4 linked regions of the Drosophila melanogaster genome follow. The protein of the gene in region 1 interacts with the protein of each later gene in a pairwise test. Each region holds a gene or a part of one and is shown in the gene's direction. Other genes may lie near its edges.

Evidence for each region.
Region 2: the proteins of fuss (region 1) and CG2875 interact in a two-hybrid assay, tested with the Drosophila melanogaster proteins (one large-scale study listed by BioGRID).
Region 3: the proteins of fuss (region 1) and CG18599 interact in a two-hybrid assay, tested with the Drosophila melanogaster proteins (one large-scale study listed by BioGRID).
Region 4: the proteins of fuss (region 1) and wor interact in a two-hybrid assay, tested with the Drosophila melanogaster proteins (one large-scale study listed by BioGRID).

Annotation. Positions count from the first base shown.
Region 1 is NC_004353.4:973,539-981,566, reverse strand, and holds the start of fuss (fussel), read left to right. Parts: upstream 1-3,077; 5' UTR 3,078-3,360; intron 3,361-4,305; exon of another isoform or gene 4,306-4,801; intron 4,802-5,531; exon of another isoform or gene 5,532-6,462; intron 6,463-8,028.
Region 2 is NC_004354.4:3,569,677-3,577,270, reverse strand, and holds CG2875 (uncharacterized protein), read left to right. Parts: upstream 1-3,648; 5' UTR 3,649-3,765; coding exon 3,766-3,903; intron 3,904-3,967; coding exon 3,968-4,676; intron 4,677-4,738; coding exon 4,739-5,268; intron 5,269-5,270; exon of another isoform or gene 5,271-5,331; coding exon 5,332-5,448; 3' UTR 5,449-5,470; downstream 5,471-7,594. Other genes in the region: ppk8 (pickpocket 8), read right to left, coding at 5,471-5,727, 5,797-6,605, 6,891-7,039, 7,213-7,516, 7,577-7,594.
Region 3 is NT_033777.3:18,262,455-18,271,672, forward strand, and holds CG18599 (uncharacterized protein), read left to right. Parts: upstream 1-5,334; 5' UTR 5,335-5,610; intron 5,611-7,030; 5' UTR 7,031-7,102; coding exon 7,103-8,021; intron 8,022-8,138; coding exon 8,139-8,647; 3' UTR 8,648-8,718; downstream 8,719-9,218. Other genes in the region: Vps39 (vacuolar protein sorting 39), read right to left, coding at 8,926-9,218.
Region 4 is NT_033779.5:15,421,751-15,429,548, reverse strand, and holds wor (worniu), read left to right. Parts: upstream 1-3,968; 5' UTR 3,969-4,118; coding exon 4,119-4,206; intron 4,207-4,268; coding exon 4,269-5,827; 3' UTR 5,828-6,252; downstream 6,253-7,798.

The DNA of each region.
Region 1 (8,028 bases):
TTTAGTTTCTAAGCTGTTCGTACTTTAATAAGGAACGACCGAGCTAAGGGTGTACTAAAATGGAAGCTTTGATCAACATTCTTTAGTTTATTTAAAATAAAATCATACATAGATATGCAGATGCTATACCAATAAAAGTGCAGCACACATGTACATACATATGTATGTATGATCGTCCCGCCCTTTAACCATCGAATACAAATACAAAAATCGTATACATTTATTCATGCACAAATCCACACACAATGCATAATTTTAATTGTTCGCTTCAAGGGTAGCGCTCAACTCTACTCGCTACACATCCCTAAGTAGGGGTTGGCTAAGGACTATTCATTTTTTCCATTTATCTGTGTAGGGCACGTCTCTGCTCGGGTGTTTAGTGTAACGATTTTGACCTCTTTTGTTTGTTACAATACCTTGTCGGCATCGGCTGTGGTTTCTAGTAGAATATCCCACTCTTTGTTATCTAAGCTGTACCACAGGCCCGTCTTTCATTCGTGATCTTCAATTGTTATCCATCTTGCTTTTTTGTCTGACCTTAATCAGATGAAATCTGTGGCTGACGACTTTTTTTGGAGCCAGCTTCAAAATTAGGCATTTCTAAATAATAACAAAAACTTCAAGCGGCTGTTATCAAGTATTGAGACCCTTTTATTTGTGTCGACGTTTAGATAATGAAAAGTATTTATTCCGTTTTCACATACACCAAGATAAAATATTACTATGCTAAATCCAACTATAGAGCACTTCATTAAATTAAGAGGCACTCCAAACATATTTGCTTTAATAGCCTCAAAAGCTGAGCTACCTTTACCATTACGGAAATATTTTAATAAAAACAAGGGAGAATGCTATAGCCGAGTTCCTCGACTATCAGATACCCGTTACTCAGCTAATATGTGCGAACTCAAAATTTCATATTTTTTCTGGGATATCGATACATATTGGGGAATAAAATAAGAAAAAATTTAAAAATTGTTCAAAAGTGTGGGAGTAAGCGGTTTGACGGCCCTTAGGGGTTAGAGAGGGCGGGGCAAAAAGTTGTTTGGCAAATCGATAGAAATTCACAAGACTAATAAAATTATGAAAAATATACAACCATTTTTTATAAATGTGGTCGTGAAAACTTTGTGCGGTTTGTAAAGTTTAGACTTGGCGTGTCTAAATTAGGAAACCAACTAGTGCTGCGTCTATGCTTTTTGGGTTGAATGCTTATTCTAAGCTTTTAAGCTCCTGAACTTTGGACGCTCTTACGAACGGAAGGACGGACGGACAGTCGGCTATTGATCCTAACCTTGCTAAAAACATTTTCATTTCACCGAACCTAATATACCCTTTTAGTATTCGGGTAACGGGTATAAGCCAAGACTAAAACATATTAACAAATAATGGTAAAATAGCTGAAAGTCCTTCACAAAACAATGGGAAGAATTTTGTTGACGTAGAAAATGAACGCAAACCAGGGCTGCTAAAATTTCCCACCGTGGGCAACGCATTAGTCCCATTAAACGATGTTGCCATCCTTATTTCTACACATATTGGGTGTTGCCATTACGCACTTTGCAGTTGTTTTGAGTTCCCGTTTTGAAATCTACACAAGTACTCAATTCTAATCGATAATATAATACAAAAATTTAACAAAACATGTGTAGGAATAGAGATGTCAATTATTTTCAAGTAAAATTTACTAGGTTTGAGTCGTAGCTTTAACATAGATAACATCAACAGAAAAATGCTTTCATTTTTCCAGCCATCTAGGCACATCTGTTTACATCAAAGCTCTGGCCAATCCACATTAAGCAACTGAGAACGCCATAGTAGAGTTCTCGGGCTACCAGATACCTGTTACTCTGTTAATGGAAGTTCGAACGAAAAATATCACCAATTTTCTGGTATGTCAATTTGAATAGGGAAGAAATAATAATATTAAAAATTTTTTCAGATATGTGACATTTTGGGCGGTTCATGAGCAACTCACAAATGATTTTGGTACATCTATAGAAATTTTCAAATCAAGTACTATACAAAAAACAAAACATTTTTCAACAGTGTGGGCGTGGTAGTTTTGGGCGGTTTGTGGGCGTAAGAGTGGACGTGGCATATCGATAGAAGTTTACAAGATTAATAAAGTGATGAAAAAATTCAAAACAAATTTCAAAGGTGTGGGCGCGGAGGCGTTTACCTTTTTTGGCGTGACAACATCAGGAAACAAACTTGCTCTGCATATATGTATGTATCTGGAAACTGCATGCTTACTCTCAACTTTCTAGATTCAAAATTCCTGCGATCGAGGCTCATGCGGACAAATCGACTCGGCTGGTAATCCTGATCAAAAATATATATGTATATATTTCGGGTCGGAAATTCTTCCTTCAACCTGTTACAGATACACATACTCGGTTAGTAAGAGTACGAACGAAAAAGTTAAAAATTCGTTTTGGCGTATCGATAGATACGGAAGGACCAAAATTGAAATAATTTCAAACTTGAAATTTTTAAAAAATATTTTCATGTTGTAGTGTTTCTCAATTTGATCGATATTTTACAAAAATTTTGAAATATCGAACTTGACTATAGTGTTCCATCTCGGTTTTACATAGAACATTGACCGTCCTACTCTTAAGTACTGCTATAAAATGTCAGTTGTATATGAATTGTGTGAGAATGAGCTCATGTATTACACACACATCCTTTAACTCGCCAATTAAATTCAATTATCGTTACCTAAATTCGTTGGTGAAGTTAATTGAATAGAAAGCAACATTTAACATTTCAATTGTCGCTACATACCTGTACAAAAACAGGGTTGATACCACAAACTATTATATTTAGAAGAGCGCAGGCGCGTACTTTTGGAAACGCCCTGGAAATTAGGATAGTTGATTCTTATTGGCTCATTTTTTCTAGTATGTATATATATATATCTTCTTCTGTGGTGTATCATTTGCTTTCGGTCTCTTATTGGCTATAAGCAGGATTATTTTGTTCTTAGACTTTTACAATCTGGTATCGGTATCGGTTTCCCACTCCTGCTGCTTTTCTTTAAACGATGTCAATACCAACGAATATGGTGTTTCATATTCAGTTTTCGCACCTATTTCGTGTTGGAATAATCTAGTCCTCAAAGAAAGTAACTACTGTGTTAAATTTTTTAACTAAAATCGAGTATACTTTCTTTTATCAAACTATAAGATGTAACTTCAATAATGAGAAATATTACGTATATAAAATATACGTTCCAAATATATTATAAAAGTGGACCGAAATCTTAAAACAAACAAAAATAATACACACAATTTAAGAAACTTCACAAAAAAAACTGTGTTAATAAGGCGAAATGAATCTAAACGGAACTTGAACGTAAGTCAACAAGTGTTAACAAATTTATCTAACAAATATAGAAAATACGCGCACAAATGTTCATAAAACAAAAAGTTCGTCTGACCCCACATCATTAAGGATTTCCTAAATATTTAAATTTTAATGTGGACATAAGGCCACATAGTGACGAAATAAACATTTTGGTTGGTTTCTCTGTCTGTCTGCAACAAAACGTTATTTTAAATTTCGAAAATAAAATCATTAGTTCGAAAAATCAATACTTACAATCGCTTAAAACAGTGCAAAATGTCGTAAAAAGTCTATACCAATGCGTATATATTCCATATAGCATAAACAAGTGTAAATTGTACTCTTCGGTAAATTGTATACGGTAAATCGGTAAGTTGTATACTCCTTCAGAACATTGAATACTATCTGGCTAAAATGTTCTATAAATTGTATACTAAACTCAAAATAAAACGTAATCGAGCTTATCGGTTTAAAGTGATATTTAAAAAAATATATATTGTTTTATTTATTCTTATATTTTTGTACCCGTTAGTCGTAGGATAAAAGGGTATATTAGATTCGGTTAAAAGTATGAAAGGAAGTGTTTCCGACCATATATTAAGCAGGATCGAGTCGGGTCGATCTGACCCTGTCCGTCTGTCCGTATGAATGTCTCGAGCTCAGGAACTGTAAAAGCTAGAATGTTGAGATTGAGGATGCAGCTTCCAGAGACATAGACACATCGACACACACAAAACTGCTACTCCCACACTTTAAAACCGCCCAAAATGCCACGCCCACGCTTTTGAAATTTTTTTTCGTAATTTTAGGAGTCTTGTGTATTTCTATTCATTTGCCAAAAAACCTGTTGCCACGCCCACAATAACGCCCTAAAGCGTTAGACGCGTTTGCGACGCAAACACTTTTGAATTTTTTTAGATTTTTCTTTGTTTTATTGTTTGTCTTGCGAATTTTCTGAGTCTATGGCAGCATGGATATTCACAGCCATTTTATTCACTTTAGCAGTTTTCAAAACACAAAAGCCAAATAGATATAGTTTAGTGCTGCCCGCCTCTGGCACGTCTTGTGGAAAGTGTAGAATCTGTTGTAGATGCAGGACCACTGGGCAGCGACCCTTAGTGGTATTGTAGTTCCTGTGGTGCTTCAACTTGGTGTAGTTAATCAGACAGAAGAACGTCATGCTGGCGACGGTCAGCTGGAAGAAGGGAGCGATCACGGCGCGCTTCGGGAACACGTAGTTGTACTGCCAGCGCCAGCATGCACGGTTCACGGCTCCGGCCACAGCGTTGGGCGTCTTGTTGCGGCGTCCCAGCCAGGCTTTACCGTAGAAGCGAGCGGGGTCTTAGGGCCCGTGCACCTTGGGGTTGTACTCACCTGGATAGTCACCAAATGACACCGCGTTCCTTCGATACTGACAGTATGTACAGTTTGTCAAAAAACTTTTTACACACTGTGAAATAGGTTGAATTTTTGATTTTAAAGGTAAAAATTAAGGGTTCTTTGCTTAATTAAACGCAATTTTTTATAAAATATAATTAAACAATATTTATTTTTAAGTCAAAAAAGAAATTAAAAATATTAATTATACAAGAAAAGAAAAAACAAATTCCAAGTTTACACAATTTTGAGATTTATAAGTAAAATAAATATTCGACAATTCACAAACTATATGTACAAGTGTGAGTTAGTCTTGCGTATTTTTATCGGTATACCAAAAACACTGTGGCCACGCCCCTCCTTTGACCTACAAAACTCCCAAAATTTTCACGACCACACTTCTAAACAATTTTTATAATTTATATGACGAAATATTTTTTTGTTATAAAAAGGGTTAGTTCTTTCATATTTGCAAAGGGGCTGTTTAATGTTGCTTAAACTTTTAAACCTGCGATGTTAGGGAATTACAAGGGCTCTACAGCATTAAAAAAAATTCGTGATAAAAACGTATTTTTTTGCTGAGTTTTTTATTTCTTGTATTGTTTTTAAACAACGGGTGACGAAATATTGCTATTGCCGTTACTCATATACTCATTTCGATCTAAAATTTGGACAAGATGAAATCGTACTCAGCATACGCATATCGAGATCGAAACATTTTCAGTGTGCAAATAGCTATCGAAATGAGAATGTCTTCTCGATGTCCAGAAGAAGTCGGTATCGAGAAGAACCGATCTCGGCTTAGAGAAGATCCGATCTCAGTATAAAGGAGAGCCAATCTCGCTTTTGGGAACAACAACATTCTTTTTATAGTTATTTAATCAATAATTTAACTAAAAAGAAAAAAGCATGACTGTTAATTTAAAACAAACCTTGTTTGGTACATCCCCAGGTGACTTTGACAATGCTCCTGGCGAGGCTTATCAAACCTCTGATGGACATCGGTCTTCTTGAAATATTACACTAATTTATTAATAATTTATTTATTTACTTAATTTCTTTAAGCAAATGTGTAAAGCAAATTTGTGAATATGTCGAACATTCAAGAAAAAACCAATGCATACACATAAATTATATTAGGTGAATATTCCACTCAAAGCTTATTGTTAATATATGTACATGTGCACCTATGTACATAGTCGCAAGTGTGAAGCACATGCATTTATGTACATACTTACATACTCACCCGATGCCAAAAATTGTAACACTTACTTACAGATGGAGAAGGGCCGGCACTTACTTTATACCACTACAGGAATCTTAAAGTGGAATAAACAAAACAACTCGCATTAATAGTACTCTCGGCTAGTAATCATCCTGGTGGACGCTATTTGTATGTTTTAGTCATCGGTTTAGAAGAGATATGTTTCACCTGATTCGTGTAAATACTACACATTTCTAAACACTAGGGAAGTGATTTCAAAGGGCATATCAAAAGTCTTAAAATTGAACATTTCTTCGAACGATTGCCACAAATATACGAAGTTTGATTTTTTATGTTCTTTACTTTCATTATAGAATATACAATGTACATATGTTCCCACATTAAAGCGATAGCGAAAACTTATCGATTGAGATCACTTGCGAGTTACTGATTTAAAATATCAGTATATATATATTCACTGTTTCCACGGATACAAGCCGTTTGTATCAAAAGCAAAATAATTAGTCAAGGTAAACTCAATTATCCGCACATTTCATTTTCAAATGTTAATCGTCTAGCAATTTAACCCAATTAAATATGCATGATGTTTTACGTGTAAACAAAAGGCCATCACGGGCACCGGTACCAGCAGCGGCAATCTGTGTTGTAAAGTTTGCCCGCCCCCAAAAAGAACACCTATTATTTGCCTGTTGACAGTACCCACTCAAGCGAATTATTGCCAACTCATCAGTGGGTATTTTAGTCCATTTTTTATCTACCCCAGTATCTGAATATGTATCGTCAAAAGGCATATGCTTCTGAAATCAACCCCCGGAACTTCCGAAAAGTAATCGTTTTCGATTTTAATAGGCCGTCGTATACGTACAATTGGATGACGAGAACACACTTCCCATTTGAAATATGAAACCTGGACAATCAATTGAAGTGAAAGTTTGAGGCACTCCCTGGTGTAAACAACCACTTAAATTAATTAGGGATAATTGAATTCACGTTGCAAATGCGGTTTGCACCTTTTAATGTCGAAGCTTACAGATTTGAATATTTTGTCTTTATACTTACACCAAAAAATATTTACAAAAAAAAACTTTTGCGATTTCTTGTATTTATTTCCTTTTCTCCGACGGCTGCTGTTCGATATCACTGCGGACGGCTGTCCACGTTGTGACGAAGCGCACGCTGTTGTCCGATAAAAATGTGTTAAATTAGGAAGGCAGGTGAGAATAGTCAATTGTCAATTGTTAAAATTCGATAAGCCAATCAAAATATATTATCAAAATAAAATTTGTTCAAGCAAACATGTAGAAGGAAGCGATTCCGACACTATAAAATACAAATATTCCTGATCAGGGTCACTAGCCGAGTCGATCTGAGCATGTCGGTCGGTCTGTCCGTATGAACGTCGAGATCTCAGGAACTATAAAAACTCGAGAGCCTAGATAAGTTTGTTTTCTGATGTTGCCACGCGCATTCTAGCACCCAAAACCGTCCACACCCTTGAAAAATGTGTTGACATTTTTCCATTTCATTTGTATTGTTTAGTTTTATTTGTATGCCCATTCCCGGGTAACGGGTATCTGGTAGTCGTGGGACTTTACTATAGCGTTCTCACTTGTAACATATAAAATGTTAATATAAAATTTGAAGGTTACTCTCACAAACAACCCCGCAGTGCGTTAAACCTCAGGCACTCGTCCCTGCTTATTCGATTTGTATCGAAAGTTTGAGTACATCTGCCAGATTGTTAACAATCTGCCGTTTTTCTAAATACTAACATAATTTTGTCATTATTTACCTCACTGGTTTGTAATTCGTTCAACCCTCGGATTCTCCAGAAGTTAAGGAATACCGTAATCATTTGTTTCGCCTGCCGTTTGCAATTTATCCGTGGGCATGTAGTAACAAAGGCATTAAGCTTAACAATCTGTACTTTATAACTTTTTTGCTAACCTTATTATCTCTAACGAAATGGTCTCCAGGGACAGGCTCCTTTTCAATTATGCTATTCTCACGCATTCTATAATTGAATAAGGGAGTTTTCACGTTACGAATAAATTTGTAGTAAAAGTTAATACTTA
Region 2 (7,594 bases), on another chromosome or scaffold:
AACCAGCTAAATGTTTATGGCTCAACTGATTAGTCCGGAAAACAACTGTGGATTTTCCGAGTTCTCTTACAGTGGCGACTGCCATTTGAAATTGGAACAATTTGAATGAATTTTTTTGTTAAATTATATTCTATATTTAATGGGATCTCAAAATTGCAGGAAATTATTGAAGAAATTTGACAGTCGCACATTACTTTGTATTGTAAAAATACATATGCATATGACGAAATTTATAGTTTCATATTTTAGTAATAATTTCCGTTGGGAACGTCTTCGTACAACTTTTCACTGCTTTGGAATTCAGCATGATTCCTAATTACCCAGAAGTTGCACGCCATTCAACCCTTTATGTAGCAATTTGCCAATGTCCTCGGTGGAGAATGAAAATGTGTCTTTTTCTATCTAGGAAAATTGCACCTCAAAGGGCACAGAATTTCGAAATATTTACCCGCACAGAGGGGCCATTTATGTGTCCCACTCCGAAACGGGAAAAGATATGAGTACGACTTTATGAACCCGGCGTCGGGCTCTTCGGGTTTATATACGCTTTTAGGTGCAGCGGGGGCGTAGCATAAGGGGCTCTGGAGGGGGGGGGGTGGGCAAAAAAGTGGTTAAAGCCTTCGAGTCAAGTGCTTATCAGTTGCTGGAGGGGGGGGGGGAGGGGCTGTTGAGAAGAGGGGAGTTGTTGGACGGAAAAGGGCAAGGGCTTCAAAACAACTTGACTGACTGCACTTTATGGTTCATTTTGCATGCCTCAGATGAGCCGAGGCCTGGACCCCGGAACCTAGAAAAAAAAGGAAAAAAAATTGAGCAAAAAACCAAAGGCTTCAGTTACATATAACGCATGCCAGCGCTTTTCCTTAGCTTTTCACCAACCCCACCCCCCTCCACACTGCGCCTTGTGACTATGCGTTTTGGTATTTTTACTGCTGCGTTCCCATTTGCAAGACAGAGAATTTTGAGTTGCTTTTTCATTTTTAATGCCACATCTTGGTCGCTTGGACAATGTTTGCTAGAAGATGGAGCGGGGCGGGGCTAAGGATGCTGAGGGGGCTGTGGGGGCGCGGCGGGACTTCAGGACTTGTGTGCCTTGTCCTTGCCTGCAGCGTTAAATTCTTGTTAAAATATTATGAACAACTTTTTGCACCATTCCTTTTAATGCTTTAAAAGGAATCCCGGCCAAAGAAATCTCGACCCCTAGGCCTTTTGGATTTTTTCGAATTTTGTTTGGTTGCCATGGTGGTTGGTCAAGTGGCAAAATATAGCTTTAAATGATACCACATCAATGTTCTTTTGTAACTTTTATCAATTTGTAAAATAAATATAATAATTTTGTCTGCTTCTCCAACGGAATTAAAATCTATTTGTGTGCATTGATATTGATATGTTTTTCAAATAAATATTTCAGAGGAATTCACACCATACGCCAGATATTTTTTAAAAGATCTCCTTAAAGAGTTTTCCAGTGCAATTAAGCAAATTTCTTTAGGGGAGACAGTTGAAGTGCGCAATTATTTCAGTTGATTTCACCTGAATTGACGCGACTGCCGTTTGCTTTGTGCCAGGTCCTTAACCAAAACACTTAATGGCGACCGCCCGCCCATGCATTCAGTACCTGCTGCTCAAGGACCCCGATTTCACCCACGCCAACGATTCACGGCCATGTCGCACCTAATTAGGCCAATTAAATTTAGCTGCAAATTACACACGTTAAATGTGTAAATTAGGGGGGGTGGGGTTTCCAACTGAAATTGAAATTAAATGCATGTCGCATGTGAGGCGCCTCGCATCGCAACGCATCGCGTGCTAAAGCCAGATAGCCTGGATACCTGGATTTTGATTTGGATTTGATTTTGGTTTCGGTTTAAACGGATGCACTGACCGCGCCCGTCAGCCAAGGGATACTTAATTCGCTGGCAAAGTGGCAAGTGCAATGGTGTCACGACAACAATTGGATTAATTCCCGCGAGTTAGTCATTAAAGTGCGTAAAGTGAAATTCTATGCACATGACCTTTTTCAAGTCCATTTGTACACTTGACTAAGATTTAATAACAATATTAAAACTCAAATATTTTGTATTTAAATCTGGCACGCCAATCTGTGTCCCTTTTTCTGTTTTTTATTTATTTTTTTGAGAATCTTTTTGGGTCTCATCAATCAAATGACAAACAAAAGCCGCTGGACTAGTGAATTTAAACTGTCGCCGGATGTAGAGGTTCATTAAAGGAAAACAAGGGGAAAAGGTGCAAAAATCCCAAGCCTCTTTTGGAGAAAAGTCTCACTTTCGAAGTTGGTTTTAATTCAATTACCGGCTTCTTGACTCAATTTCCGCCGCCAGTAGCAACTCACCTGATTTGACTGCTCGAAATCGCTGGACAGTGGTAAACTCAAAAAAGAAATCAAAAAAAAAAAAAAAAAAAACCAATGGAAAGGTAGGAAAACTTGGGCACAAAAAATACGGCACGGTTTTTGCATTCACTTAAAAACTTGTTGAAGTAATTTGTTTCCCTCTGCTTGTTTATATTTTAGGCAAACATTCTTGTTTATATTTCATAGAGCACATAAAAAAAAATCAAGAACAATTGTGAATTGTTTTTTTTTTTTTAATGTACAATACAATTTTAAACTTGGATTTTCCCGGATTTTTAGAAATGCTATCCTTAGCCCGATTTCGTAGGATCCTTTCTAGTCCGCCACACAACCGTCGGTCAGGACATTCGCCAGCGAACTACGCGCCATCCAAATCGAAACAGTCGCAAGTGGGCGCAAAACCAAAACACAGGACGAAGTCACAGCCGAAGGACCCGAAGGATGCGCGACTCGAGTTGAGCGTTTTCGAACGTGGCCGCCTACGACAAAAAAACTCAGCATATTTTAGAATCTTTATTTTATTATTTCATGAAATATTACAGTACTCGCAATCACAACAACAAAAAGAGTTGGGATTTTATTATTTATAAATTTTATTTTTAAATGAAAACAATTATGGAATCAGCATGTCAACATGTTCAAATATTATAAACAATTTTTAAGATAAGAATGCACTAATATGGCTAATATATTTTTGCCTTAAAATATAAAAATTGAAGTATAAACAAAATTTATTTAAAACATTTATTTATAATTAATTATATGTTTTTTCCATATGCGGAATTTGAAATTAGATTCACTTCAAGTTAATTTTCAGTGTTCCCAACGAAATCGAAAAGAACGCAACAGGCGCGCATGCAAATTCCCAAAGGAGCAACAAAATATTTGTAAACAAAGCGGCTTCGTTTGAGAGACGAAAGCGAATTTGAGCGCAAAAGCGCTGAGTGAGACTCAAACTTGAGTGAATTTCGTTGTGAATGAAAACGTTTGCAAAGAAGTATTGTTTTAAATTAATATCGCAGCTGAATTAGTTAAATACACAAAAAATATTTATCTTTCGAGAACTTACATTAAATAAAATTCACAGTTATGTTTAATATGTTTATTATTATAAATATGTTTATTTCTTAAATTTTATTTTCCGCTTGGCGCCCTAGTGATGGTATTTTTTGAACTGCCAGCGCGTGCAAAATATCGATAGGCCCAAGCGTGGTATATGACCAACTCTGGGTTGTAACTAAAAAATACCACACAAAAATCTGGTTTAAAAATACCTTCTGTTTAGCGTTCTCCGCTGATCTGGCAACTCTGTGGAAGCACGCGGCATAAATTCATCTTATTTTTGTTTGTTGCGCATAATTAATATGTTTTAGCGTACATTTGCCAAACCGAAAATGAAACCCTTAACTGTGAAAGTGAACGATGACACCGGCAAGTCTTTGGCTAAGAAGAAGCTGCAGTCCAAGGCCAATTCCCTGCTAAATGCCGAGCAAGTGGACATCAAAACGCTCAAGGGATTCGTACAATTGCTGGTAAGTTTAACAAATTAATAATTAACTTAATGAGTTAAATGAAATTATTATTATCTGCACGCAGAAGAATACGCCCGATAATATGCCAGCTGGCGAGGTGATGAATACACTCGAGGTGATATTCAAGAATCTGCTAAAACGAAAGGCAATCGACGGCACCGAAAAGCAGGGTCTCAAAATCAAAAAACTGTACGAGGAAACTTGGTTGCTTCTCATCGAGAATCTACTGGTTGACTCGCAGTGTTCGGTTGCTGTAAAAGTGTGCATGCAGCTCATCAAAGTGGAGGCCAAGCATCCCATAGCACCCAACAAGGGTTGGCCCACCTACTGGATTCGCGGCATGCTGGAAACCCTAATAAATAGCGATACAACGCCCACAACAGCGCTGGCAAACTATGGGAAATATTGCAAAAATCTCGATGTATTAGAGATAACCCTGACGCAATTGAAATCCTTAGTGCCCGATGAAGACTTCAAGGACAGCCCCATTAAGGCCATGAACTTTCTATCCATTGTAAACCTCTTGGATATGGGAAAGTCTGTGCTGAGCACGGCAGATTACCACGTGGAAAGCGCCAAAAAGCAGACTTTTAACTACGAGTTAAATCGCAAAAGACTGAATAATCTCTGGGCGACTATTATGGCAAAGGGCAACGAAGTGGACGAGAAACTGCATCGTCAAATACTTGTGGTGCTTCTGGAGCGCGTAATCAACCACCTGAACGATCCCATCCAGCTGACCGACTTTCTCATGGACTCCCTCCATCAGTTTGGTTGGTATTTAGTTTTCCGAAACTGAACCGATCCTTTCTAACGACTCGTTTTATGTTTTCAGATGGCCCCATTGCCTTGCTGGCTCTTCAGGGAATCTTTACGCTTATGCAAAAGCAGAATATCACCTATCCGGATGTGTATGAGAAGCTGTACAATATGTTCTATCCACGGATGTTCCACAACAAGTACAAGGCACGCCTGTTTTACTTGGCCGATATCTTTCTGACCTCCACCCATTTGCCCGAGAATCTGGTGGCGGCATTCGTTAAGCGTCTCGCTCGCCTGGCCCTTCAATCGCCGACCGAAGATGCTGTTATTATGATTCGATTCGTTTGCAATCTGCTATTGAGACATACTGGATTGCAGAAATTGATTCGCGCCAGCCATGCAGTCGATGAGGTCAGCGATCCTTACAATCAAACAGAAACGGATCCCGTCAAATCGGAGGCCATAAACAGTTCGCTGTGGGAAATTACGTTGCTGCAGAAACACGTTGTACCAGAGGTGGCCAATGCGGCACGGTTTATTAACTCATCGCTGCCCGTAATGGAATTCGACTTAGCACCCCTCTTGGACAGAAAGGAATGCAATGTAAGTGAAGAAATCGAATGATTTTTTTTAATATTGATTAATATAAACATTTTGCTCTTCTAGATTTTCGACGACGAATTACAGTCGAAGGCCAAACAATTTGCTCTGAACTACGAACGTCCTACCAATTTGGCTTTGCCTAAAAACCAATTCGTGACCAAATACTGGGACCTCATCTAGATTAGTGTTACTATTGCTAAGTTTAAGCAGGATTAAAGTGCTGCCTGTTATTGGGCTGCTGATGTGCCAATTCGGCCTGAAACCAATCGGCTGCTGAAATGTATCTGATGTTGCCAGGAGTCGGACTCCTCTTTAAGTTCATTTGATGCACCCTTGGCTGATTAAGTTGTCGAATCTCCGAGCAAGTGCGACAGGGACGAATCAAGGCGAAGTACACACACTCTGCAATGGATAGAAAGCTGAAGCCGAGGAATAATCCCATAAGACCTCCAACGCCAGCTGCAGGATTGTACGCAATTTGTGTGAATTCTTGTCTGAGAAAAAACAACAGGTAAATTGAAAACTCACATAGAAAATCGGAAAAGCCTATGAATTCGGTCTGTTTGTTTGCTCGGAATGTTGGGTCCTTAAAATACATATTCACCACCGCTACGCTGCGCTCCACATAGGCATCGGTAAAGTTCCAACCACCATTCGAAGGTGTCTCCCTAAAGCCGTCCAGCGATATTCTCGTCGAATAGGCAATTGCGCTGAAACTGAGATCGAAACACGATGGCAGGCACTCGTCAAGACATGATTCCATCGCTATTATGGTTCTAAATCGAATAAGCTCCACACATTCCCTCTTGTGCAGTGGGCATATAGTATCGTTCGCATTCAATCTGGGCATATAGAAGGTCACACAGCCGCAGTGGCGGATTAGCCAGCCGGAAAGGCACTCGGCCACACAATTTCTCTGGGTGTAGTGGGCGAACCAGCGAAGTTTTAGCTCATTGTGGAATAAACAACGCCTGCTCCGACGGTCCACATTGCGTAGATGCTTCTCGGTAAGAATTTTCGACGGATCTATGCGCAACTTGGTCTCCATTCCGGGTGCCAATAGGACTCCGGTCTCCCGGACATTCGGCGATTCATTCGGGCTATGCAGGGCGATCTTGAAGCCAATGCTGCTGGATGAGGAGCAGTAGTAGGCATCCGCCTGGACATCCAGGGTCAGCGATAGTCCCAATGACTCCCCTGTTCCTTGGGCTCGTCGAGGGTAAAGAGGATTATCACCGTCCGGCTGAAAGCCTCGCTTGCGATAGCCCAACTCGGCATGCCAATTGACTGCATGGAATCCCTCTGGCAGACTTATATTCCGATGCGAATAGGGAACTCTTTGGGGGATTATGTTTGAGAAAATGTAGCATTCGTTAGTAAGTTTGCTTATCGGAGTGCATTTCTTGGCTATCGTTTGGAAAGCTGAAACCAAAGTCATAGCCTAGCCTAGGGTTCGCAACTGACAAAAAGCGGGCTACAAAGTTTTCATAACTTTTGAAAAGGTTGGAGCCCAGAAGTATGCTACGCAAACAGCTTTTTCAAAAGCTTCATCTATGGATGGTTGGCGAAATGAAGGAGCTGAAGATATCTTAAGCTTAAATAAATATAGCTTTTCCTCTCACCTTTTCCGGTACATAAACCTGGGATGTAGCATATTAAAAACACAGCACAGACCTTCATCGGTCACGATGGGATGAAATAAACGTGCACATTCGTAATCATCGGCGCCAAAACGACAGTGAATAACCATTGAGTTGCAGGGCTGTGAGATCTGTATGATTAAAATAAATAAGCAGACAAGATATTGCTATTGCAAAAGTATCTGAAGGATGCTCCTGAGATATCCAACAGATAGCACGAACTTTTTGCTTGTTTCCTATCCAAGATTATCCAAGATGTCGAAATACATATACCAAATTAAATAGATTTGGAAACGTTTCTTACATTCAGTATGAACTCCTCCCAACGGGAATCGTTGGTCTTCACCAGTTCAACGTCCACCTTTCGCCGACAGAGCAACTGCAGCATTGCGAACTCCACGGAATCGTTGGAAAAATGTTCGACCCTTTCGGCGAGAGCCTGATTTAAATTGCAGATTGTCACTGCCGGAAAAGGCTCGTTGGCAATGGAAGTTAGCTCCGGATCGATGCCCACAATAACCGGATTCGTGTTCCATTTATCGAAGGCGTCCTGTATTAAGTAAATGGCGAGCGATAGCACAACTAAAAGGGCTATACCGAAAAATAATCTTCAAAATGATGAATGTTTAGCTTAAACTTATCTATTTTATAATTTCAATTTTCAATACCTATCACTGCTTCGCAAT
Region 3 (9,218 bases), on another chromosome or scaffold:
TCAGAATCAGACCAAAAGTTCTAAATTGCTGCGGGATTACCTATTTAAATTTTAAACTTAAAAGAGCTTCTATTGTCTTTTAATATGCATATCTGTTATCTGGATTGTCAAATAAAATGTTGCGTTCAAAGTCAGTTTCCACTTGGTTGCTATTTGTAGACTTTCTTATTTCTTCCAGAATCACACCTTTTTAAGTTTTATTTTTATATTAAACACCCGCAAAACTCAATTAGAAATATTTCTGAACTGAACATATTAGGCATTCGCATGTTAGGTGAATATAACATATTGAACAAACCAGAGTCAAAAATCATGAAATACCTTCAACTTGTAAACCAATATTAAGGAGAAATCCCAAGGCTAAGCGAATGCAAACTCAAAAATGGAAAAGTTTATAATAGAAACTTTTTTGATGAAAAATGCTCAGTTTAAATTACCTTTCTATATTTAATATAATTTTTTTACATAATAGTTATTTTACCTGTAATAATCTGTACTATAGATTATATGTTATCTTTTTTTAATATAATATAATCTAATGTGCATTAGCCTTCTTTTGCTAATCAGAATACAACAATATGTTCAATTTGACATCATAACTAAAAACTGCAAGAGCACGATTTAAGCTCCTATTAGCCAGAAATCTGCTTCAGTGCAAGGATTTTAATTAAAATCTAACAACCCGTCTTCCGCTTAACGCAACAATATGCAATTAAAAACGCAGTTATTAGTGCTGCTGCGAACATAACCAAATAAATTTCCAATTAAAACATTGAAAAGCGTAACCGTAAAATGTGATTAGGTTTTACATTATATTTGCGCAACAGAGAGATGGAATCAAAAAATGGAAATTAATTTTTGGCGGAGCGAAAAGCGCACGAAATGGGGCCGAAAATATTTTTGTTTCGAGTGGCTCGCCATCAGCGCATCTGAGTGCAGCAGTAGTTTTGGCCAAAAACCCAAACGGCGGGACCAAAACTCATTTTGAATATGGCCAACAGCGGGCTGTGCATACACACTCAAGTGGCAGAGCGGCAAAGTGGCAATGTGGCAGCAAATGCGGCGGAAGAGCCACCGGAATAGACGGATTTAATTAAAATCGCAAAATTGCCGCCCTTTCACCTGATTTGCTGGCCGTTTGTTGTCCGATTTTGAGGGCAATCGAAAAATTTCTAATTTTCCGCTCATTATAAGTTTTGATGTTGTAATTAGTTTTTGAATGGGCTTTGATTTAGCACGTTGAGAGGTCTCTAAAAATTCAATAGCCATAAAGTTGAACAGGGCATCGCATGAAGCGATTCGAGGCCGTAAAAAAAAAGAGATTAACATTTCGTATATTTCCACCCATAAAAGGAATGTGGTGCAAATACATAGATCAAAAAGAAATGGATGTGGGGGGAATGCGGAAAAAATACGGCAACAAATAAAATTGAGGAAAATCAACATTATAAACAACATTATTAAAAACATGCCGCAAATGTTTTGCTCCTCTCGCATTTTTGAGTCCATTTTGTTGTGAGCCAGTGGCCAAGAAAAAGGGGGCAGCCCGAACAAAGGGGGCGCCTCCGATGGGCAAGGAGCAAAAGGGGCTGGCTGGCTCAACCTCATGATGATGTTCTGCACAGCAAATGAATGCTGCCATTCCGAGGGTGAAGCCGAATCATGGGCAGAGGGCTAATAAAATTAAGCCCTGCCAGGAGGTACAGCCAAGCAGGATGCGAAGGATGTGGGCAGCAGAGGATTAAGTTGGTGGAGCAGCTTAGGCACTTTGTTCCTGCCAAGATGTGTGTGTGTGTGTGTGTGTGTGTGTATATGGAGCTGTGTGGGGATGCTGGGGCGCCTGTGCCACAACGTCGTGCGGCTCCATAGGAATAAAAATATTTCATTAAATGAGAAAGGATAGCAGGAAACACGGACAAAGTACAGAAAGTGTTCTTTACGGCTCATTTAAAGGATGGTAATATAAAATATATGTTCGGATATAATTGATATGAATGCACAATTGAATGAATAAACAGTTAGACAATTAATGACTTCTGTCAATCGAATTAGTAAATATACATTTTTTTGATAACTGAATGTTTCTATGTATTAATAAAAACTCTGAAATTAGTCGAATAATAATAATTTATTCAATGTAAATATTAACGTAACTAAATGTCATTGTCCTTGAAAATTAATCCATCTATGTACATATATGGTGTACAAATTGGTATTCCTGTATCTCATGAACAGCTAAACTCTAAGCCTTCCCTATTCTGCCCTTTCAATTTAATTTCCATTTAATTCCCTGAGTAATATTAATATTTTTACAACATTATTATAACTCATACGCAGTGTTGCCCATCAATGGAGCCGTAAAGTAGGCAACCCTGTACTTTTAGCAAGCCCCGCGTTGCAGCCCTGTGCGAGGACTAACAGTAATTTTATTTGCCCGTTTGCCGAGGGGCCCTATGGCCCCTTTTCCTATTTCCTGGCACTTTCACCGTAATAATTCATAATGAAAAAAGTTTTCCTACCGCTTGTTTGTGTTTTATTTATTAGATTACATTATAATGTTTGTGTGCAGGAGGGGTTTTTATTAAATAAAAATAAATAAATGTTATGGTTATGGCAACGCTCCTCTTCTCCCTCGCCCCCTCTTCTCCCTTTACCGGAAACGGGACATCATCATCATTACGCCTCTCATCTCATTTTATCTCTCGTCCACAGGGCATGAACAACAAAACCAACAACGAGAACGACGACAACGAAGTTTATCAAAAGGCCAAAAGCACAACAACAATGGCGTCGGTGGCAGAGACCCCCACTTACCCACCTCTCTTTAACTCTCTTTCCTGCCACTTAAGAGCATGCGCGGTGCACATTAGTATATGTGGGTTTGTTTTATGAACGTGTTGTTTTTGTTGTTTGCACCTCGAAAAAATATTAAAATTGTGGTAAATAAATGGAAAATAAAATATGTGGGTATATAAAAAGTATTTATATATGTATGTAAGCATATGTGTATTCTGTTAGTTAAAACTGATTTTCCGCTCACTCTCTCTCTCTCTTCTTCTGGCACCACTCTCTTTCGCTCTGCTGCGGCCGCCATTGCTAAATGCCGACGCCTGCGTCGACGTCAGCGTCGGCGCCAAGTGGCTGGCCAATTCTTGTGGGTACATTAGCACTAATGATGATTGAAACGACAAACGTGACGCCGAAGCACCCGAAAGGATCCTCTCCATCCCCAGCTCGTTGCCAAGCTCCAGTTCCCAATTCCACCTCTCCGTTTGCCCTTTTTTGGCTGCAAATTCCTGGCTGTGATTTTAGAATTTGTCCCTCTTTGGTTTTTTGAAAGATGAGACGAAAGTTGGACATTGAGGGAACAAGGCAATTTGTAACAATTTGGTTTTTATTTTCTTTAAATACCGTAAGCTTGGTCGATTTACCCAAATTAAATCGTTTTAAATGTTATGACGATTGCAACTGCATAGCAAGCAAATTCTTGCAGTGAAAAATCATCTACTACTTTTACTATATTTTATGTACATACATTTAAAGTTTCTTCAAAGCTAACGGATTACATTTGTTTTATTTTTTTGTGTGTAAACTCGCCATTTGCTTTGTTCTTTTTTGGCATTTTCCTTGTCTGCCCGCTCCACGTGCTCTTGCATTGATTTACTTTGATGGGCCGCTAATTGGGGCCTCCTTCGTCTTTCCATTTCCGTTTCCGCCAGTTTCGCTGGCTCGTAATGATCGTTGGCATTCCGGGTAGTTTATCAAACGGTAAATTGAACACCCGTTTGGCAGGCAAAAGGGTGGAGCCAAGGGGACGGCTAATTGGGGTTGGGTTTGGGGTTGACCTGCGGCTGTAGATAGTTCGTATTGCCAACTTAGTTTGGGGATTTGGGCCAAAAACGTTTCCAAGACTTAATACTACTAACATCGGCCAAAAAGGACCATAAAATGAAATTGACAAAGTTTATTTACTGATAAGTCGTAAACTGAAATACTAAATCTAAAGGTAATTCGACTCTGAATTGCACTTCGACATTGAATATCATGTTGTATACAGTGAAAATTTAACTAAATTAAGATTTAAAACAAATTATTAATGTGCGTTGTTTTGTCGATTTTACCTGTCCAAATTTAGATATTTATACTTATGATGTATCTACGATGTAATTTCTTAGCTTATTGCTTCATTAATTATGTCTATCCCCACATAGCCCTGCCCCAGTGGCTTTTCCACCTATTCACAAAATATTAATAATCCAGCGTCGCCATATTGTCCCGCAATATTTTCCGACTGCTTAGGTACCGCCCATTTGCCATGAGCGAGGGAGACGCTACCAGTGAGCCAATTATCCATTTATATCATAATTTCAATAACTTTTTATACACTCGCCCTCGGAAGGGAAACGGGTGTTTACCAATGGGTGTGTGGGCAGGGTTGCTCTGATAGGTGGGTGGCTCGGGTGGCTGGTGGTGGATTGCTCCCTTTGGTGGGTGATTCCTTTTTATGTAACTGCCTGGTGGATGCTCCTGAATAATGACGATGACTATCAACGATGATTATGATGACGATGATGATGATGAGGCTTCGGTTGACGATGTTTTTATGCCTCAGCTACATCTCATCTCCTTCTTTCCTTTGTTGGCTCTTTCAATGGCTCTGATCTAAGCTGAGTGCAGGGTTGTCAACTGTAGCAAAACAAAGTCATGGGCGAAAGTCTAAAAAGGAGATTTTAACGCTTTGCTGTTTTGAAGATATTGCTTTTAAAAGACAAATAATAAATCTATATCTTTCGGATGTGTTGTACCAATATGTTTTAAAATATCATATATATGAATGTATAATAGAGAGACTTTCTAAATGTACACTTTAATCGTTCAAATGCTTAGGAACATAATAGATTTAAACTAAATTAAGGTACAAATAATTGTAACAAATTTAATTATAAAAAATTAGGTATGTACATAATTGTGTCAAAAACCAAGATACCAAGATTATTTAAAACAATTTTTCATTTAAATTTAATTCTGTTTTCGTTAGCACAAAAAATTAAATGTATTCATGAAAACGAACAAAGTTCAAAGCACTTAATTACTAGTTAATGAATACTATTAGTGAAAGTTTTGACAACCCTGGTTGAGAGCAAAAAAAAGCCAAAGGAAAAGCGGATAGAAAAATCACAACGGCAACTCACGCACACCCACAAAAAGAATCACTCACCCGCACACAGACACAAACAAGCGCACCGCAGCAAACAGAAAGCAGCGCTGCCAGCTTCGCTGCCGGCGTTCGCTGCCGATAATGTAAAAATTTTACGGCCACGAACTTTTAGTTCAGTTCAGTTTGCAACACGTTCGCGTTCGCATGTGTTTCCGGCAGTTAAACTTCCGCTCGATTTTCTATTCGATTTCCGTTACTGCCGTTGGGCGCAGAACTGTAGGCAACACTTTTTGCAGTGCCGTCGGAAAAGCAAATTTTTCAGATTGAAAACTGTGTTCGTGAAAATAATAGTGAAAGTACTGAAAACTGATTAACTCACGCTTGGATTATCTTTTGAGTTGATTACATCTGCAATTGAAATCAATGTAATTAGAACTTCATTGGTTTAGAAGGTTTGTAACTTTTGCAATTTATAAGAATTTTTGGCCCAAATCGAGTTCCGTCGGCTTTTTAATTCAAGATTACTAAAAAAGATTTCTGATTTTGGATATGCCATTAAAAGAATTATTTGAGATTTACCAGCGTTGAGCTTGTAAACATAGCAATAATGTATAATTTATTATGCCCAATATTTTAAAATGCATTCAATGCTTAAAATTTTATAACGGATTCTCTAAAAATTTATCATTCAGCTAAAATCTGTATGTTTCAATAAGATAAATACCTAAAATTTTCAATACAAAATCATATTTATGATAGCTCAGATGATAGCTTAAATTTGATTTAAAGTGCTTATATGTTTTTACAAGTTTCTTATCGTTATTAATTTTTTTCAAATTGAACAAAGACTGATAAATGAACATGAGTGATTAGAAAGATACAAAATAGGATAACATACTAGCTTTTCTCTCAGGATCTAAGCTCCACAATTAATGTAGCTAGAAATTCACAGCCGGAATGTGTGTGAAATCCACTTGTTACACCCAAATGGCATTCTCCTAATGAAGCTCATTTGGCCCGCACACGACATTAGCCTCGCATATTTAGTCAAATCAGCTTAAATGCAGCTTGAGACATTCGCATATTTGGCCTAAAGCACAAACAATGAGCGACAACAGTGCTGAGGACTTGGGATGGTGCTTCACCTGGGAGAGCAACTACATCTGCCACAATGAAGCAGCAACTGTGACAAAGTCTCAATTAGGCTATCACATTGCCACAAAACGATTCAGGTTTGGCTTACCTGGGCAAACACAATGCATGCGAGCGAGAGAAGCTGGCATTAAGCAAATTATACACTTTTCAAAATTATTCTACATAAGCTGATATTATAAAATTTTAACCCTTGTAATGAATGCCAGAAATAATGTACAAAAAGGATCCATTTTAACATTGAAATATAGAGTTATAATTCTAACTTATATGCAAAAGTTGCAGATTCCTCTGTTGATTAAAAATATTAAAGATCCTTTAAAAGAAAATTTACTTCTTATAATTAAAGATATTGTTCTTATTTTAATATCTAATTTGATAGGACCATGTTTATAGACGATTGTAAACTAGAAATATTGGTATTGTTAACCTTAGATACTGTTGTTTCTACTTATATTAAGTTAGTAATACTTCAGTTCCAAAATTGTCATTGTGTAGGGAAAGTCATCAAAAGGTCCGTCCCAACCAGTTGTAGTTCCATTGTTCCATCTCCCACCACTTAGCTGAGCTGACCAAGCACTTCATGGTAGAGCAACTTCTTCAGCCAGCGATCACATTTCACTTAATTGTGGATTTAATCGGGGAGTCGTTGACACCTGGCAGCCACAGAAGCTCCACAGCAGAGCAACAATTAAACAGAGGCATTTCTCCCATTTGCAGAGCGACCGAGAATCCCGGAGGCCAGCGGCAGAAGGCGGACGACAACTCGGAGACAGTGGCAAATACCTAAGCATGCTGCAGAATCCTTCCAAATATCACGCAAATCCCTTGTCGCACTTCCTGGCATTGCATAACACACAAGCCAGTGGCGGCGGCAGCGGCGGGGGATCGTCGGTCGCCGGACTTGGAGGTTTGGGTGGGGGCATTCATGCACATGGTCAACCGCATCATGCAGCGCTGGCAGCGGCTGCAGCAGCGGCGGTCGCTGTCTCGGCGGGTCAGAGTTCATACCAAATGGAGCACCAGCAGCAGCATCATCAGTTGCAGCAGCAGCAGCAGCAGCAGCAACATCATCATCATCAGCAGCTGCACACCCACCACCAGGATGGCCACCACCCACACCCACCGACACCCACCACCGGCAACAACAACAACAACAGCAGTAGCAGCAGCAACAGCAGCAGCCACAACAGCAACAGCAACCACCGGGAACAGTTGGCGGCGGCGGCAGCCACTGCGACGTCGCACGCGCAGCTCATCGAGGCGGCAGCGGCGCATTCCTCCCTCGACGTGGGCAAGTCCTTTACCATCGCCGCCATTTTGGGCCTGCAGAGCCAGCGCAAGGACTACAACAATGCCATCAATCTCTCCCTGCACGACAACAACAACATCATCGGTGACGACAACAACAAGTGCTACACGAGCAACCCCAACAACAACAACAACAACAACAATAACGGCGGCAGCAACAGTGGCAACAACAACAGCAGCCCGAGTGTAAACAACTTCAATTGTGATAGTGTCGCCGGTAATGGACGTTACCTGCACGGCGGACACCAGCATCCGCATCCGCACCAGGCGGGATTTGCAGCGGTTGCCGCCGCCGTCGGAGCAGCTCCCTCCGCCCTGCAGAGCCTGCAGCAGCTCCACCAGCAACACCACGCTCAGCAGCAGGCCACCCTGAGCTTTCAGCGGGAAAAACTCAAGTCGGGTAAGCAGGTGTTTCAGTCGATGAATAACCCATGATTTGATCATAAGTGGGTATTAAGTAAACATAGTGTGTGCACATCTAATACCTCCATTTGATCATCATTTTGTGATTCGGCAGATTCTCACAAGAAGAGCGCACTGAAGAACAAGCGCGTCCGGACAATCTTCACGCCGGAGCAGTTGGAGTGCCTGGAGGCGGAGTTCGAGCGCCAGCAGTACATGGTCGGCCCGGAGCGGCTCTACTTGGCACACACCCTAAAGTTAACGGAGGCTCAGGTGAAGGTGTGGTTCCAGAATAGGCGGATCAAGTGGCGCAAGCACCACTTGGAACTGACACAACAACGGCTGGCATTGATAAGGCAAACTCAACTGCCAGGTACATCGTTATTGGGCAATCAAGTATCCGTGTCGGCCAATGCGGCCCATTCTGTGTCCACGGAACGCACAAACGGATGCAGTGCAGCCTCGCCCAGCCTGCAGGAGGAGGACAACGAGGATAGCAAGCACTCGCTGTCGCTTTCGGGCGCATTACCGCCGTTGAGTCGAGCGCAGTCCGAGTCGGATTTGTCCATCTGTAACGATTCCCTGGACGGCGACAGCCTCATGGACGGCAGCGAGGAGGCCTAAAAACCACGCCAGTGCAAAGCAAGTTTCCTGTAAATATAGTCAAATAAATATGTACAATATCGGTTTTCTATACTTCTGCTTGTCTTTAATTGTTGATGATTAGCTGCAAGTTGATTGTTACAATCAATCAATGCAAACTATATTATATTGTATAAGCATTGCAGTATATCCATTACATACGAGTACTGAAAAAGCTTATTTAAAAACAGAATAATACAGACATTTACACTCAATTCGCACTTTATACCTTGATCAGTTATCACATTGGAGTATTTCACTTATTGCTGAGCAGCCGCCCTGGCGAGCCGATCGTGGCAGGATAGGTGCACGATGTGCCCATTTGGATAGCGCACGAAGGCGGACTGGGTTTGAAAACGCTTCTTGCACTCGGAACACACACTAGACTCGTTTAACTCGAAGCTAATGTTTCGCTGCTCCTCCAAGGCATTCTCCAGGCGCGTGGACTCTGCCTCCAGGAAGCCGCACATCATCTGCATCTCGTGCTTGTCGGCCATCATTTTACGTATAGATTTCTCCAAGTATTTCTCCAGCTGGGGCATGGGCATGTCAT
Region 4 (7,798 bases), on another chromosome or scaffold:
CATAGTTATATTCCATATTAGGCACTCAATGGCACTTAATTGATTGGCCATCATATGGGGGTTCTACTATAGGTAAATAAATGGGTGTGTCTCAGCCATTGAATTGGCTACCACAATGGTAGATTATTTTTATTTTAGTTAACTTCAAACGGGATTGATTTGGCAAATCATAAAGTAAATCAATCAAGGGTCTTTTTCCTGTACTTACCAACTGTATTTATACCTGCCAAGCGATAGCGAACTTGAACTTCAGCGTGCCCTTCAACTTTACCAAAGAAATACCCAAAAGGATGTTTGACATTGATAAGCAAATTAAATTAAGCACTCCAAGAAATTATCTCAAGATTTTCGGATATGCATATATATTTGCAAGTGATTCAGCTTTTGCCAAATTTGTTCGGTCGGCAACTAATAAGGCGGCAAATTTTTCATTTTTATGATGTCTCAACATTGCATTAACATAAACGCTGATGCTAATCTTTTTTTCCCATGAAGAACCGAAGAAACATAAACAATTTATTATCGTGATTCATTTATGAAAATAAAATCACAAGCTCGCCGGTGATTATGAGTTCGAGATGAGAGCGCCAAAGCTAGCGATCAGCGGATCGATCTATCTTTCCAATGCCAAGCGGGTGGTCCGAAAAACCAATCTTATAGATACACGGAGAAAAATGTCACATAAAGAACGGATGGCCAAGTCTATAATTATGTTTGCTTCTGATATGAAGAGAACTTTTATTTCCTGTGTAGTTAACCACAAAGACTAGTAACTAAGCTTCTTCCCAGCAGATTAATATCTCAAGAGCGCATTTTAATTAGCGGCGATGAAGTCGAAACTTAATTTATTGTCACTCCGACTAATGAAACACGCCTTGGAGTCCCGAGACTCTGGTTTTAGACCCCACATAATTGACCAATTTGAGAGTGTATGCGGTGGGTCTCTTATCGAAGCGCACACGCTGTCAATAAAACAAATTAGTTTGAATTATAGACGTAGCTTCCATATTTTCTTAGTCTCGATCTCCGGGAGTCGGGACTAATTTATGCGGCGTCGGAAGCTTCAGACTGTTGTCTGCTTTTATTCGATTATAATTACCGTTACCGTGTAACTTCGGCCAGATAATAATATCGGATTTCAAAAGCGGCGTTTATGCTCGCTGACCTGAAGCTTCCCCCGCCGTATCAGGCGCCAATAGTTCTAAGATCTTGTTTTGATTGCAGCTCGGTCTGGGCGACATCGCATTTTTCTTGTATTTGTCTTGTATTTCTCCCGCATTGTCTGCTCAGTGGCTTGAAAAACCTTCAGCTCGTGACAATGTGAGACAAAAGTCGGCGTGTGGCTGGGACAAGCGGCCTGGATCGAGATCGGATTCGTTTTGGATTTCTGCATACTTCTCTTGGACGTCTATTTCGCCGCCCGACTTTCTTTTGTCCGCTCCCGAGCGCAGCTGCAGCCAGCAGATACACAGATACTCGGATAGTTTGAAGTTGGATGCCCCGATCCGCAGATACTCGCTGCCTTGCCACCTTGACGGCGGCAAATTAATGACATTTTGCACTTCATTATGCGACTCTGTGCGGCCGTTTGACACTTTGAAGTGAGGCACTCAGCTGTGGAGCAGTGGAAATCTGTGTGGGACAGTTAGCCTTTGCGGTTTACCTGCCAGGTGATGTGCAGTTAGCTTTTCCTCGGCGTTCCAGGGTTTGATGACACTATCCGCATTGTTGCAAATCTGCACTCTTCGAGGGCTGGCCAAGCAGAAGGTGAAATTGGCCATGGTCAGAATCGAATGATCATCGGCAGATGGCTGGCTAGTCGCACAATTGAGCTGTGATCATGGATCAAGATGATGGATGCACATATTTGAAATGTATTATAAATAAGAAAATTAAGGGTGTATTTAAAGAAAGTAATTCTGATTTAATACTTGGTGAAATCTTTTTATTGGCAGAAAATCCGATCAGAAACAGAATATTTTTGTTGAATATTATTGTATATTGTAGAATGCTTAAATATACATTAAAGAACTCGGGAGACTTAGCACTCTAATTATGGCAATCTCTAAAGGTTTTTTGAATCTTAAACACTTCATAAAAGATCAGTATCAGATTTTTTGATCTTAGAGTATTGAAGGCATAATTTGCTTACCCTGAATTAAAATTTCATTATAAAAGATGAGCCAACGAAGCATCAAAGACCGATTAATAGTTTCTCAATTCCAGTTAATTATAATTCAAAAATCACTTTTCAATGTACCATCAGAGAACATTTCCTATTGTTACAAGGATCACAACACATCCCGGCCAGCTGAGTTCGTTACAGGATTTTGGCGCCAAATACCCGTGGCATGGAATAATCAGTTCCAAGACGAAATCAGTTCCTTGTGGTACGTGTCACAGTCGGCAGATGTGGGAATAGATGATGATCGGGGGGTGCGACTCTCCTTGCAAGACGCTCGACGAGGGGTTGGCTAGAAAGTAACGTCCAAAACTGCAATTCCACCACCATCACCGGCTTTATTCCGACGAAGGTTGTCTGGTGATGCCGTGGATTTTGGGGTGGGACCACTGCGCCAGGTAGATTTGCACGAACCTCTCTCTTTTGGCGCATTCCAAGGCACTCAGCTCCGTTCGGAAAAATAAAGCCAGGTAACTGTCCGGGCACATGCCCATTTTGGGGTGGATTGGAGGTCGCTGGCAGATGGCGGGATTCTTTAATATCGGGAATTGAAATTTCATGGCCGTTAGGGGGTTATTTCTGCCGAGTGCACCGATACACGAGGAGGCGGAGAACCGGAACAATACTCTGGGAAAGGTTGATTTACCTTAGATCTGCGCGCTGTTTGTCCTGGTGATTAATATTTTTGTGGACGTCTAAGTGGGTACATTGCATTGTAGCTTGGCTCGATTTAATGGCGGAGCCAATGTCACGTGCTGATCCTACTCAGCTGCCAGCCGGAGAGGATCGCTCCGATAAGGATCAATTGGAATCCTAAGTGCTTCTTTTCTTCTGTAACAGCGTGCGATTTTATACAACAAATGAAAAGCTTTGAAAGAGAAAATAGAACAACTTTCCTGTACCTTTATTGTAATATCTTCTATCTTAATGATTTTAATTGAGAACGTTTTAATTATTATGGTATTTAAATATTTGGGCATAATTTCCTAAGTCGAGCCCCTGAAAAATCTTCACACTCTCCGATCAGCAAAGTCAGCCGAATATGTGATCGTTTAAGCTCAGCTCAGAAAAATTTGAATAGTAAACATAATAAGAAGCTTAAGAAAACACAGCTGAATTATCCTCCGAATAGCACAGAAAGCTATCTCTTAAGTTCGTGGGACGACTGACAGTTGGAACAAGAGCGCCCCAAAGAGCGAAGAGAGTTGAAAATTGTGGGGTACGAAACTTCTCTTGGTGGGGCTCCAAAGAGCATGCTCACCTGCTCACGAAGAGCAAACGTCCATTAGGCTTATATACAAAGCGATCGTGTGAGGCGGACCCGAAAGAGGCTTATAAATAAACTTGATCGGGTATATAGCAATAGCAAGCTCGCCACCAGCTGCCGCTCACTCATACCATTGAAATTCAGGGGAAATACGAGCTGAACCAGAGAGGCAGCTGGTGGCGATCGGCGAGTGGAACGGAGAGAGTCCCTGTGGCACGTGCTCGCTTTTTACACACAGATTTGTTCCTCTCGTCTCCAGGTCCCTCCCTCTCTCAACGATTCTCTATATGGCAGTGGTACCCCCGGACTGCCCGATCTGCAGCTGTATCTGCGTTCAATGAACGCACAGCTGTGGCTCGATCGCTGAATGGATCTTTTGGCTCGTGGTTCGGGGTGGATTTACAGAATCCCGGGCGACATCGGAAGTAGGTAGACGCCAAGATCCTTTTTGCCCAGGGGGTTGATCATCCTGCCAGGGGGTTGATCGGGAGTCTATAAAACCGGACTGATCCTTGCCGGGTTGCATCATTCGAGCAAGGAACTCCAAGCGATCGAGACGCGTGTGGCGAAAGCAAATGAGTGAGCAGTGATTTAAGTTCAAGGATCGGTATTAAATACAAAATCGAAGATCAGTGATCAGTAACCATAAGGAATAATAACATAGCAACCATGGATAAACTCAAGTACAGCCGCTGCCCGCTCAAGAAGCGTCCGATAATGGTGGAGGAGTCCAGCCCAGAGGATCACCTAAGTCATGGTAGGTTTAAGGCTACGGAAGTGATTTACAGGCATATTTTAACTTTATGCTGATTTCAACAGATGAAGGACCAGTGGACTTGAGTGTGGCCTCGGCTGCAGTGCCTATGGAGCCCCATTGGATGGCTAAATCCGAACCGGAACCTCAGCCGGTGCCCACGGAATTGAGGCGCCGCTTCGATGCAGCCATGAATCAGACCAAGGAGCAGTTGGCCCGTCGCATTTGGGAGGAAACCCGTGAGATAGCCCGCGCTTTTCCGGATGTCTTCACCCGGGAGGAAATCGCCAAGAGTCTTGCTCGCCTGGGTTACGGCGAGTTCGAGTTGCCACCTGAGGAGGAAGTAATGGAGCCGGAGCCGGAACCAGAACAGCATCTGCCTCTTCGATATACAAGAGATGCTAGCCCAACCATCATCAAGGCTGAACCCTCTGATGAGGAACAATTTCCCCTGCGAAACTACAATAACAACCTACTCAAAAGCATAGCCGAGTATGAGGACTGTATGAAAATGCAGAACATCAAAGAGGAGATACCTCCGATTCCATCACCCCAGTTGTTCTATCCACCCCCGACTCCACTGGCCGAACCGGAGGACCTATCCGTAACCCAGAGGAGAGTGCTGAGCGAAAACATGAATCTGCAGAATGTGGCCAGAGCTTTGCTGAGCATGCAACACATGGCTCCGCAACATGCGCCGCCTCCGATAGACATGGAAGAGGATCAGGAGAATCAGGACATCAACCAGCTGAAGATCAAGAGCAGCAATGATCTGTACTACCAGTGCCAGCAGTGCAACAAGTGCTATGCCACCTATGCAGGATTGGTAAAGCATCAACAAACGCACGCCTACGAAAGCACCGAGTACAAGATCATTAGAAGCCAGCCTGGAGGATCAGGTGCGATAGTCGACCAAACCGAGTTTTGCACGGATCAAGCTTCGGCTTTGATTCAGGCAGCTAATGTAGCCTCAGCACAGAGCATGCAAAAGCCAGTGGGAGTGCCGCGATACCATTGCCAGGATTGCGGAAAGAGCTACTCCACCTACTCGGGACTCTCTAAGCACCAGCAGTTCCATTGTCCGTCGGCCGAGGGCAATCAGGTGAAGAAGGTCTTCAGCTGCAAGAACTGCGACAAGACCTATGTGTCCTTGGGCGCCCTGAAGATGCACATTCGCACGCATACCCTGCCCTGCAAGTGTCCCATCTGCGGCAAGGCGTTTTCGCGACCATGGCTCCTCCAGGGTCACATACGCACCCACACGGGAGAGAAGCCCTTCAGTTGCCAACACTGCAATCGGGCCTTCGCGGATAGGTCAAATCTCCGCGCGCACATGCAAACCCATTCGGATGTGAAGAAGTACTCGTGCCCCACCTGCACCAAGTCCTTCTCGCGTATGTCCCTGCTGGCCAAGCACCTGCAAAGCGGTTGCCAGACTGAGCAGAGTGGAGGTCCCAGTGGGTCAGGAGGGGGCTTTGATCAGCAGCAGCTACAGCAGCACCTCCAGGTCTACGAGGAGGGACACAATCCACACCAACTCTACTACGCCGGCAGTGTGGGCAGCAGTAATGGTGAAGAGGAGGAGGGCGGGGAATACCAAATGCAACCACCGGCCATTTATTAATCTTAGTCAGTTTAGCCAAAGTCAGAAGTCAGATTCAGGGAAAAGTCAGTGCCAAAAATTAGTCAGGGCAATTTTATTGCCTCTTAGGGTCTCTAGTTTATCAGAAATATTTATTTAGAGTTATCGCTAAATTATTCCAAAACTCATATCGCAGTTGAGAGCTTAGCATTAGATTGTTTTCGTTGACAATTCCTTGTATTATAGTTCGTTGTTAAAACTCATTCGTGTACAAATCAAAAAGGTGCCAGATAATTAAGCCCCAATTCATACGACATACCTACCAACTTATAATTTAATCTTATAATTTATTTTACCTTAAACATTATGATTTAAGCCTTGTAAATATGGTGAAGGTAGCCATTTACTTGCATGTATTTAATTTTAATTTTTTTAAATAAATAAAACACAAGAAAACAGAAACCACCAACACATTTAGTTTTTTTGAGTTGAGGTAAACAAATTAATTTCCCTCATTCTATTACTTTACCTATCGGACGAACGGTTCGAATCGCATCGCAATCTAAAAGATGCCATCTCGGATATGCATTGTAGGTGTCGTTTATTTATCGCTGCACTCGAAATGAAAATCCACAGAAATCGAGACATTCAACCGTCAGGGAGACTCGATGGGGGGTTACAAAGAGCTAGGAAAGCAGTCTATACATATGAAGCCGTTTATATGTATGTATAGAAATGTATTGAAAATCGCTGCTTAAATCAAAATTAATTGCCAGAATAATAATTGTTTTGAACGTAAAGCGCCGAAATGCAAACGGCAAACCAGAGGAGAATTGGCGCAGCTGCAATTGCAACTGCAACTGCGACTGCGTCACCGTCAACCAGCAACACTGCAACTAGCAACATCAACAACAGCAGCAGGCGGCAAGCGCCAACAGTCTAGTATTTTTGTGGGCCTGCTGCAGTTGGCGAAATCCACTCAAAACAACAAACCAAGCGATGAATCATCGATTTTGTTTTCGGTTTTTTTTTTTCTTCTGTTCGTGGCAAACTGAAAAAATCAACAAAGCCGGCTTTTGGTGCAGCCGCACGCAGCTAGATGGCGCTAGTGGGCAGCCAGGTTGCAGGCAGGTAAGCTCAATTAAACGCGTTTTTCAGTTGCGCCGCTTTTCCGCTCTACAGCCCAGCCGCACCTTACTTTATATAGCGAAAAGAACCCCACCCACCCTGCATCCTCATCTGGATCTCAGGCAAGCCGCTCAACTCACTCGCATTATTATAAAAGCCGTCCACGCAGTTTCTAACGCTCCACAACTTCCAGTTTACTTTTTGTTCATAAGCTGTCTGCTCTTACAAGAACTTGGAGACTTACAAAATCAGATGCGATTCGCTGAATATGTGTTATATCTCTCATTACCCAAGTCAGTTTACATGTTTTATGTTTTAGCAGCTCTTGTAAGCATAAATTGCGAAACTATCATCTTCCTATAAGACTTGAAATCTGTGTGTAAGTCTTCTTGTTTTTTTCTATTTGTTTAATTATTTTAGCCCATTGTGAGGGTATTCCCTGATACGTTTTTGCCTTCACTTGCTTCCGATTTCGGCTTGGGCAAGCGGTAGCTTTTTGGTCTATTAGGAAACCACGCCATAGAGCTGCCACTTGAAAGTCATATTGCATTTGGTAGACAGCACTCGCCAGAACCGGGGACAGCCTGGTTTTCTATAAGGTTTTTATTTTGATTTTGAGTGCGCGTGCTGCTTTTTCGTCGGCTCCAAGTGCCACGCCTCTTTTGGAACGCACGCGGTTCTCTGGTAGCGGCATTTGGTCAAAGGTTAAATGAGACGGCGGCCTGGTGACAAGTGCCAGGCAATCGTTTAGAGCGCTAATTTATGGGCCGTCAAAGCGTAAAAAAAAATCAAAGTCCCAAAAACAACCGAAAAGTGTGTTTTTCACTTTGCTCGAGTTTCGTTTATTGCGGCTACGTGCAGAGTTGGCTTAATTGGCAGTCGGTG